Linked DNA regions of Bombyx mori. Each later gene encodes a partner of the first gene's protein in a complex. Links are inferred from orthologs where the notes say so. Each region holds a gene or a part of one and is shown in the gene's direction. Other genes may lie near its edges.

What was found.
Region 2: DNA-directed RNA polymerases I, II, and III subunit RPABC1 (region 1) and general transcription factor IIE subunit 2 share a complex: the UniProt entries of both Homo sapiens proteins name them as parts of the TBP-based Pol II pre-initiation complex. The link is inferred for Bombyx mori from reciprocal best matches to the Homo sapiens genes POLR2E and GTF2E2.
Region 3: DNA-directed RNA polymerases I, II, and III subunit RPABC1 (region 1) and ruvB-like helicase 1 share a complex: the UniProt entries of both Homo sapiens proteins name them as parts of the PAQosome complex. The link is inferred for Bombyx mori from reciprocal best matches to the Homo sapiens genes POLR2E and RUVBL1.

What each region holds. Positions count from the first base shown.
Region 1 is NC_085125.1:6,615,522-6,618,809, forward strand, and holds the end of DNA-directed RNA polymerases I, II, and III subunit RPABC1, read left to right. Parts: coding exon 1-95; intron 96-684; coding exon 685-763; intron 764-2,627; coding exon 2,628-2,693; 3' UTR 2,694-2,744; downstream 2,745-3,288. UniProt on the Homo sapiens protein: DNA-dependent RNA polymerase catalyzes the transcription of DNA into RNA using the four ribonucleoside triphosphates as substrates.
Region 2 is NC_085118.1:15,266,866-15,270,625, forward strand, and holds the start of general transcription factor IIE subunit 2, read left to right. Parts: upstream 1-1,381; 5' UTR 1,382-1,525; coding exon 1,526-1,587; exon of another isoform or gene 1,588-1,591; intron 1,592-2,319; coding exon 2,320-2,424; intron 2,425-3,248; coding exon 3,249-3,411; intron 3,412-3,760. UniProt on the Homo sapiens protein: Recruits TFIIH to the initiation complex and stimulates the RNA polymerase II C-terminal domain kinase and DNA-dependent ATPase activities of TFIIH. Both TFIIH and TFIIE are required for promoter clearance by RNA polymerase.
Region 3 is NC_085128.1:12,886,023-12,889,782, reverse strand, and holds the start of ruvB-like helicase 1, read left to right. Parts: upstream 1-914; 5' UTR 915-1,285; coding exon 1,286-1,426; intron 1,427-1,803; coding exon 1,804-1,932; intron 1,933-2,848; coding exon 2,849-3,023; intron 3,024-3,566; coding exon 3,567-3,760. UniProt on the Homo sapiens protein: Possesses single-stranded DNA-stimulated ATPase and ATP-dependent DNA helicase (3' to 5') activity; hexamerization is thought to be critical for ATP hydrolysis and adjacent subunits in the ring-like structure contribute to the ATPase activity.

The sequences.
Region 1 (3,288 bases):
GAATCGGAACTACTGATTAATATAACCGAACACGAGTTGGTACCGGAACATATTGTGCTGACACCGGATGAAAAGCAAGAACTCTTGGCAAGATAGTATCCTTTACTGACAACGTTTAGAAACTAGAAATAGCAATATTGATAGAAACAACAAAGATAGATTTAAGTTTCGGAAATAAATCATTTGACCTCATGTCTCAGATGAGTGGTGACATTGGGTTGTCTATAGACTCTGATAACGACTTAAAACTAGACGGGCCGTGAGCTACTACTGGTGGTAGGACCTCTTGTGAGTCCGCACGGGTAGGTACCACCGCCCCGCCTATTTCTGCCGTGAAGCAATAATGCGTTTCGGTTTGAAGGGTGGGGCAGCCGTTGTAACTATACTGAGATCTTAGAACTTATATCTCAAGGTGTGTGGCGCTGTAGATGTCTATGGGCTCCAGTAACCACTTAACACCAGGTGGGCTGTGAGCTCGTCCAAACATCTAAGCAATAAAAAATAAAAAAAAGAGCTCGTCAACTTGTTTAGTGAACAAAAAAATGTATTGGCAAATTAATAATGTCCCTTAGTCATTTCAATCTAATATTATTTCACTACTGACTTAATATGTAACTGAGATAGCATTATACATATACTAAAAGATTGGTTCATTTAAATGAAAATTTCCTAAATGAATGACAGTAAGCTGAAAGAGAACATGTTGATGAGAATACAAGCAGGTGACCCTGTGGCGAGATACTTTGGACTTAAAAGAGGACAGGTGAGTCATTTATCATAAATTTCTAAGTACAAACATTTTCATTGATATAAAAAAGGGTGTATATTTTTTTATGTTTACTTCTTTTACAAACTTCATATACATAAATTGCCTTCTTGAGACAAGAGTGTCTAAGCTATATAGTATAACGGTTGACCACCATTCAAACCGAAACGTATTAACGAAGGGTAGGGCAGCCGTTGTACTGTACAAACTGAGACCATAGAACTCATATCTCAAGGTAAAGCCTTGTTCGGACTAGGCGAGTATTTTAGTCGAGTACCGAGTAATTTAGTAGCTAAATGTGTCTCAACACCAAAAATTTAGTCGAGTAGGTTAGTAAATAATTTAGTCAAGTCAATCCATTTTGTTCTATTTTTATCGGGTGAGTAGCAAGTAGTTTAGCCACTAAATTACTCGGTACTCGACTAAAATACTCGCTTAGTGCGAACAAGGCTTTAGTGACGGCATTTACGCTGTGGATGTCTATGCGCCACTTAACATCAGATAGGCCGTAAGCTCGTCCACCCACCTAAGAAATTAAAAAAATGGTTCGCGGCATAAATAGACAGGGCGGTGGTACCTACTTGAAGGAAGACTCGAAATTCATATAATCGTATTTTTAAATTCAGAATAAAAAGAAAGCAGAAAACAACAAAGCTATTAAATTGTTGTAATGTTATCAGCTCTTGGAAGAGTGTGATATATTTCAATATTGAAATTGGCGGATCTCATATTACAAAGATTTTGCTACACACATTTTCCTTTTTCTAGTCATTGGATTAAAATGATGTCTAAATAATTTTGGTCACTGATAATAAAAGTTTATAGTCATATAATCATAATAAAAAATACTTAAGTGATCTTTGTTGGAATTATTGTCAAAAATAGAAGTAAATAACAAATAATAATAAAAAAAAATATCGGTTAAAAAAAACAAAACCTATGTCAGTTAGACCCTTCATTTTAGGGTTTTTTTTTCTTGATAATTTTACGTATATTTATTGAAGGCATGTATGTATAGGTACCCTGTAAGTCAGCGGTTCATATTGATAACAATGATACTTGTTACTAAAGAATCAATTAAGTGAAGTTACACAATTTTGGCGTGTTTTATGGTCACGATCGTTACTTGAATTCGATTTGTTAGGCTCCCGGTTTTCGTGCAAGCTTTGTATGTTAATTTGAATTTAAGCCTCATTGGATACACCGCGTCGGTTACGCTGCCGCATATTTCGAATCACTTACCTTACTTTGGCTGAGTACGTCAGAATTCAAATCGAGTATAAGAATATCTAAAGCACAATTTTTTTTTGTTTCTGTTACCCATAGACACAGCCCACTGAGTTTCTCGCCGGATGTTCTCAGTGGGTCGCGTTTCCGATCCGGTGGTAGATTTTTTTTTTATTTTTTTTTTATTGCTTAGATGGGTGGACGAGCTCACAGCCCACCTGATGTTAAGTGGTTACTGGAGCCCATAGACATCCACAACGTAAATGCGCCACCCACCTTGAGATACAAGTTCTAAGGTCTCAAGTATAGTAACGACGGCTGCCCCACCCTTCAAACCGAAACGCATTACTGCTTCACGGCAGAAATAGGCAGGGTGGTGGTACCCACCCGCGCGGACTTACAAGAGGTCCTACCACCGAAGCACTGCTCTTGCTTAGGGCCAGTGTTAGCAACACTCCGGTTTGAACCCCGTGAGCTCACCTACATGTTAGTGTGAAGCTGAAACAGCCTCTCAAGGCTATCAGCATAGGCAGGAGAAAAAAATAATCAAAAGTGATAAAACGTTTTCGACATTTTTTTGTTTGTTGTAGATCAAGCGATAATAATAAAAATTAAACGCGATACTTTATTACAGGTGGTGAAGATCATAAGATCATCGGAAACAGCCGGGCGGTACATTTCGTATAGATTAGTTTGTTAATTTAGCAATAAGATAAAAATAAAAATAAGGGAACAAAATCTACATACCTAATAAGTTGTTTTATTTTATTACTTATCTATACTAATATATAAATCTATAGTGGTTTTTACGGATGTTCAGTTATAACTACTGAACCATGCATCCGATTGACTTGAAACTTGGTATCCGTGTAGAAAATACATGTACTTAATGGATAGGCTAATATATGAGTGTTGGACTCCCTACACCAGTTGCGGTGGCGTTAATGATGAGAATCTTTGTGGGGATGAGAAATAATAATGTTAATTTTAAATGCCCAGCGAAGCGGGTACAGCTAGTACAATTATATGACTACATAATTAATAAGTGAACATTTTTGTGCTCAAGTTTGATTTTAGAATAAGTTAAAGAAATACCCAACTTTAGTGACTTCGCTAATAAATAAATAAATAAGTTACCATGATCATATTATTTGTGTTCGCATATTGTTAATTCGAATGATTTGAAAATTGCATACTTGATGCAGTAAATAGATGATAGCACTTCAAGGTCGTAAAGCTTCGGTTTTTTCTCCGTATTTAATCATTGGTAACTTAATGAGCAATTCCAACGCGCC
Region 2 (3,760 bases), on another chromosome or scaffold:
GTGCCAAACCTGCGTTGCTTGCCAGCGAAGTAAGGTGACGCGGCATATAAAATCTCCACTTGGACACTTCTCCAGTCCTACGTCTCGACTGAAGCATGTCCATATTGACATCATAGGCCCTCTTCCATCTTGTTCTGACTTCCAATACTGCCTGACTGCTGTGGATCGCTACACTCGATGGCCCGAAGTTTGGCCTATGCACGGAATAACAGCAGAAGAAGTGGCGAGCACCTTTGTAGCCGGTTGGATTGCTCGATTCGGAGTACCTGCTGTCATCACTACCGACCAGGGACGACAGTTCGAGTCGGACCTTTTCAGACGCCTTACTAATTTATGTGGTACTAAACGTATACGCACTACTAGTTACCACCCTTGTGCCAATGGGCTCGTGGAGCGCATGCATAGACAATTAAAGGCCTCTCTGATGTGTTATGATGATTCGTGGTTGAATGCATTACCTTTGGTCTTATTAGGAATGCGTTCGGCTTTTAAAGAAGATCTACAAGCAACAGTAGCGGAATTGCTTTACGGAGAAACATTAACGCTTCCAGGGGAACTGTTAGTACCTCCCGGTCCTTCTGGCTTCGAGGACCCGACGGATTTTGTCGTAAAGTTAAGACAGCGTATGTCTAAATTGCGTCCCACTCCATGTTCCTCACACACTAAACCATCACCTTTCATATTTAAAAATCTTTCCACCGCCTCTCATGTAATGCTCAGGGAGGATTCGGTTAGACGTTCAATGCAACCACCTTACTCTGGTCCTCATAGAGTTATATCTAGAGCCGAGGACGGAAAAACGTGGTCGATTGATGTAAAAGGGAAACAGGTGACGGTCAGTGTCGACAGAATTAAGCCAGCTTTCGTCGAGCATTCTTTAGTAGATCTCGTTCCAGCACCAGCACCGCGGGTTTCTGTGCCTCAACCAGCGCAACCGGATGCTACTAATGTCCCTTCATGTCCACTCGTGCCTTCGGCACCTCTAACTGCTACTCCTACGCATACACCTCAATATACCACCCGATCAGGTCGCAGAGTCCACTTCTCCAAACCTTTCGACCTATGATATTTTTTTCTCTTTTTCTGCGGATTCTCCTTCTCCGTAGGGGGGTGGTGTGGCGTTTTATTATGCGTAAGCCGGAACGCACGAGATGTGGGAAAAAGAATATAGTCTGTGACAATACCTTTTTACCGCCAAAATATGAAAAACAAAAATAATTTATAATGTGATAATAACCAATTTAATGTAATTACTTTATGCCGCTACAACAATAAAATTTATATTGTTCCAACTGTGGTGTTAATTACATAAAACACAACCAGGCGAAATAAAGAAGGGACTCTATATGAACTCCCTCACGTCATTTGTCAAAGATGGTCATATGTCACATGTCAAATTGCTCAAACCGGATTTTAAAGAAACAGGATTTGGAAGTGGAAAATAGACTACATTACAACAGCAATTAAACAAAATACTAATACAATTGATACGTACTTTTAGTGATTGTGTTTAAAAGACGAAAATATGGACCCGGCGCTCTTACGGGAACGGGAAGCGTTTAAAAAGAAGGCACTTGCGACCCCGAGGTCTGTTACATTATTTTTAACTAAACTATTCGCTAGTCCACAACAATGATTGGAGACATACTGGCATCCATCGCACACTTTCTCTGTCACTCACGTAGCCCATACAATTACTATCAATTCACTTCCTTGTGGCAATATTCATTACTGAGTCATTATATAAAGTTATGAATGGAAATATGTGTTTCGAAATACTAAATGAGTAGAAATGTGAACAAATCACTTGTGCAGAGAAAAGTAGAAGATTTAAATGTTAATAAGATATAATATCTTTCCTAATTTAATAGCAGCCAATATTCTAGATAAATATGATCAAGGCACAGGCCCTATTTTTTTAAAGATTATATTGACTGGCATGCCCTAGGTAAATTAGAATACAATGGAAAATGTTTCATTTAATTTAAAGTAATGAATTTTTTCAAAGAATCTGATCAAGCTGACAGCCCACATTATGTTAAGTGATTACCTGAGCCCCTAGATATAATGTGAATGTCACCAATTGTTTTGAAACATGATTTTTATCTAAAATGCTACTTCATCTTATAATCCATTTATGAAAACGTGTTAGAAATGTTTTGCCGTGGAAAAAATTATACAGGTCTATGGTATTTGAATACCAGCATAGTCACACTTGATAAAAGTACACTTTACATGAGCTATAGTTCAACCCATCGAAAGGTTACTGTCAAATTAGAACGAAACAAAATTAATAAAGTATTATTCTTTTCTCTTCAGCATTGAAAAAAAGAAAAGGGATGACTCTGAATTCAAAGATGACAGCAAAAAGAAATCGAAATCATCCAGCTCAGTCAGCTCCGGACCAAAGCTTGATGCTAGTAAGTAAGTAAAGGCTAGGGCAACATAATTAATAATTTAAAATATTCTGTTATCAAAATAACTATTGAATTTACATAGTTACTGTGTTCCGCATAAACAAATATGTGCATCATTTACTAATGCTATTTTCATTAATAAACTAGAAATCACATTTAGTTTTATCTTTTGACTAGGTCAAATTACTATATCAGCAATATCTATTCATGACATCAGTACCATTGCTTCCCATAATTTATTATGCTTTATAGGTAATTTTAATCGCCAATTCTATTAAATAATACTAATAAACTTTTTATAGCAATATCAACTTTTGAATAAAAAAAATTAGAAAAAGCCTTTGGAAAAAAAATTATGAAAAATAAAAAACACAGGATTTATTTGGAATTCGAAAATTTATATTATGATAGCCTTGATACAGGCTATATGTAGCGAGCTTTTTATTGTTAAAAAAATAATTTATCATTTAGTGTATTTGCTAAAATCTTATAAAATATATAAAAAAGAATTGATCATATTTAGTGCTACAATGGATAAAATATTGAGATAGAGCATATAGATACCAGTTCTTTCTCTGTTTGACAACTCTCCCTTTTATTTAATTTAGTAGCTATTAAAGAGCTTTTGTGTTATCAGAAAACAGTTCTAGATTTTTTTTTATATCACTAAGTAACGAAACAAAAGGGAAAATTTAATACTAAATTGAATCTAAACCTTGAGGTGTCAATGATTATGGTCGAATTTAGATCAATAAGCAAACACTAATAATATTATTTTTTGTTATATTATAATTATTGGTTAAATCTGTGATTGATCATCATCCTTTTCAGTTACAAGACTATGACTGGCAGCTCGTCCTATCGCTTTGGTGTGCTAGCGCGTATTGTACGGCATATGAGAGCAAGGCATCAAGATGGAGATGACCATCCACTGTCTTTAGATGAGATTTTAGATGAGACAAATCAATTGGATGTCGGAAATAAAATAAAACAGGTATCTTTTAATAAGTATTGAAATAATAAATAAATTACCTCAATAATAATTACAACAACACACACATTTTCTTATAGCTGATGATAAATGCAATTTTTATTTTATTACTAAGTCTAATGTGCTCACGAACCACCTGGTGTTAAGCAGTTACTGGAGTATATAGACATGAGTTCTAAATCTCACTTTTATATTGCTTATGCTTCAGTAAAGAAATAGGCAGTGTGGTTATATCTACCCCTGCATGCTCACAAGACACCCTATTAACACTAACTGTATCTACATAATGTATAAAAATAATCATGAGTAATTACTTTAGGAAAATGATGGCATTAATTACAGTATTATTATA
Region 3 (3,760 bases), on another chromosome or scaffold:
CGGCGATACGTTAGGATTTTTACAGGTAAAAATAGTAGAACGAAAATGTAACACAAAATTCTATAAAATGTTAGCATTGCGTGAATATTACTTATATACATCTATACCGATATCATAAAGAGGAAAGATTTGATTGTTTGTTTGTATTGAATAGGCTCCGAAACTACTGAACCGATTTGATGATAGAATAAAACCGAAAACTATTTATGATAGAATAAAATAATGTACTACGACTTTGTAGAACACATTAATATTTACAGTGTTTTTGCAGTATAACTATTATAGTTATGCCACAGTAAGTGTTCTTTTATTTAAAAAAATAAAACTACGTCAATTATCGTTTACAGAGAAGCTCTGACTTAATAAACTTAATGGCTTTTGTTTTGTATGTATTACATTATCTTTTTACGAAAATTAGAAATATAATAATAAAAAAAGAGATAAAAAATCATATAGAATTTTTTTTTTAATTAAAATAATAGTATTCAAACTATATTTATAGATAATTTTCTTTTTTTAGTAACTCAGGGCAAATAGAAGAGTAGATGACGTGTGTGTGCTATAATTTTTTAATTTTGAAATTTTTGTTAATTTTCAAATGATTATGCAAAGTTTTCGCTGCATTCGTGGTTTTCCAAGCTGTGTCGGTTTTTTAACAGACATGAAACCGCGCGAACCGCGATCCTTCGCGTAGTCTCCCACACATTCGTGTGACCAGTTGCGCCCAGGATAGCGAAGGCAACGGACGTTTCGCTATTTTCATAGATCGTGACGTCCAGGTACTGTGTAGCGTATCTTAATCAAAAGAAATCCCATAAAAACAGCATGGCTGTTAATGATGTCTGGGAAAGAATTCAAAACTCTTTTTCTCTTCAATATTCTATTGACGAATTAAAAAGGAGGAGAAATTCGTGAGACATTCGTAAACAAGTGTAGGAGGAAGCGCAAACGGGTTCGCAAATTGAGTACCGAACCCATTTGCACAGCCGCTAAGTTTGCGAATGAATGTTTGACGGCCCTTCACATGCGCGCAAACATTCGTACAATGTACGAATATTTGCGCGCATGTGAGTGGCCGGCATTATGTGCTGTAGTCTGTAAGAAGCGTATACCTAATCTATGGTCTGTAGCATAGATTATAAACTTAATATATTGTCTGTACAGTGTAGTTTGTATAATGTATGGTGTAGTTTAAAAAGTAAGTTTGCTCAAGTTTGCTGTTGGAGTACTAAAAAGAAAATACAAAGTAACGTCTACTGTTTAAAAGAGTAAAGCTGCTTTCAACATGAAAATTGAAGAAGTGAAAAGCACAGCTAAAACGCAAAGGATCTCTGCTCACAGTCATATAAAAGGCTTGGGGTTGGATGAAAATGGTGTTCCTATTCAAATGGCAGCCGGTCTCGTGGGTCAAGAGTCTGCACGTGAGGTATACAATAAAATTTCCAAAAAAATTGCCGATAAATTTACACTCGAAATTGTATAAGTTTTATTAGATCAACCTCGTAGAGCAGAAGTTCGAGAAAAATAATTTGAGGTTATCAATGTTTGGTTGCTATGGAATTATTGATCAATGGTAATTGGAGGCAATATGACAATATACATAACAAAATGTTGAATTGTAGGATTAGGTAGTTTAGTAATAGTAATTCAATGTAATCTTAAGCAACCTAACACATTTAATACAATCTAATTTTTATTTATCATTTACTGTCCAATGACCACAAAATTACAGGTATTTTTATTGCATCTATACAAATACATTTTTTTTTGTAAACTATTTTTTATTAATTTTAAAAATTGTAGGCTGCAGGGATAGTTGTAGATATGATAAGAAGTAAGAAAATGGCCGGGCGAGCTTTACTCTTGGCAGGGCCTCCTGGTACTGGCAAAACTGCTATAGCTCTTGCCATCGCTCAGGAACTTGGAACTAAGGTAAGTTCTTACTTAAGTCTGACAATATAAACTTGGGCTGTCACCTTCTTATTTTCATATCTAAAATGAGTGTTTTTTTATTATTATTTTTATTGCTTAGATGTGTGGACGAGCTCACAGCCCACCGGGTGTTAAGTGGTTACTGGAGCCCATAGACATCTACAACGTAAATGCGCCACACACCTAAAGTTCTATGGTCTCAGTATAGTTACAACGGCTGCCCCACCCTTCAAACCAAAACGCATTACTGCTTCACGGCAAAAATAGGCGGGGTGGTGGTACCTACCCGTGCGGACTCACAAAAGGACCTACCACCAGTAATTACGCAAATTATAATTTTGCGGGTTTGATTTTTATTACACAATGTTATTCCTTCATCGTGGAAGTCAATCGTGAACATTTGTTAATTACGTATTTCATTAGAAAAATTGGTACCCGCCTGCGTGATTCGAACACCGGTGCATCGCTAGATACGAATGCACCGGACGTCTTATCCTTTAGGCCACGACGACTTCTCTTTAAAAGTCTTTTTATTGACAATCTCAATGGCATCGGTTTAGAGCATACTGACCATAGTGTGACTGACCATGTGTTAACATTTTACTGACCGATTATGGTGGAAGCAGCCACTTAAGACTTCCTATTCGCACACTTTTTAGATAGAGGTTAGGAAACAGCTACTAAGAAAATAGTAAATTCCAGTGAACAAGAACTGTTGAAAGAATGATTAATAGGCTCCTATTAATATACATTGGCATTAGAAAATTAATGAATATGCTAAACAGTACATTACATATAATAAACTTATCATAGTTTCCTCAGTGTCCTTAGCTAGAAGTATATGAATAGAAATATCATCATCATCAATTTGTCATAAAACAAGCATAAAAACATTTGAAAATGTTCATCATTACAGGTTCCTTTCTGTCCAATGGTTGGTAGTGAAGTTTACAGCACAGAGATCAAGAAAACAGAGGTATTAATGGAGAATTTTCGACGTGCTATAGGCCTGCGTATACGTGAAACCAAAGAAGTATATGAGGGTGAAGTAACTGAGTTAACACCTGTTGAAACAGAAAATCCTGCTGGAGGTAACTATAGCAAAATTATTCTTTTATTCTTTTATATATTAATATGGACTTAAGAGGGTCTGAATTAAATGTTTTTTTTTTTTTTTTTTTTATATTGATATAAGAAGGTCTAAGGGTCTAAATAGGGTCTCTAGATAGCTAAAGCCAAAGTGGATATAATCTACTATGATTGAACTTAAAATGAAATTAATTGACAGATATTGGCTATAGTCAGTTTGTATTTTAAGAACAGCAATTTAAATTGAAGGTTGGGAGTCCGTTGCACATTCAGTAAAATGATAAGTTTGTCTAAACCTTAACTACAACTACTCTTAGCACAGTTTGTAGGCAGTGGGTTGGCTTTCCCCTTGACATGAAGCTTTGAAATTGGTCAAAAATTTGATACCAAAGTTCATAATATTAGTTTTGATTTTTTGTGTGGATCTATCATGCAATGAATAATCTTGCTTCAATTACTGTAAAATTTTGACTTGACTTGCTCTGACTTGATTCTTTGGCTTATATCTGCTTTACCTAATATTTTTGATATCTTCTTTTTTTAAGGCTATGGAAAAACAGTATCTCATGTGATCATAGGACTAAAAACGGCCAAGGGTACCAAACAACTTAAACTTGATCCAACTATATATGAATCGTTACAAAAGGAAAAGGTTGAAGTTGGGGATGTCATTTACATTGAAGCTAATTCGGGGGCAGTGAAGAGACAGGGTAGGAGTGATACTTTTGCTACTGAATTT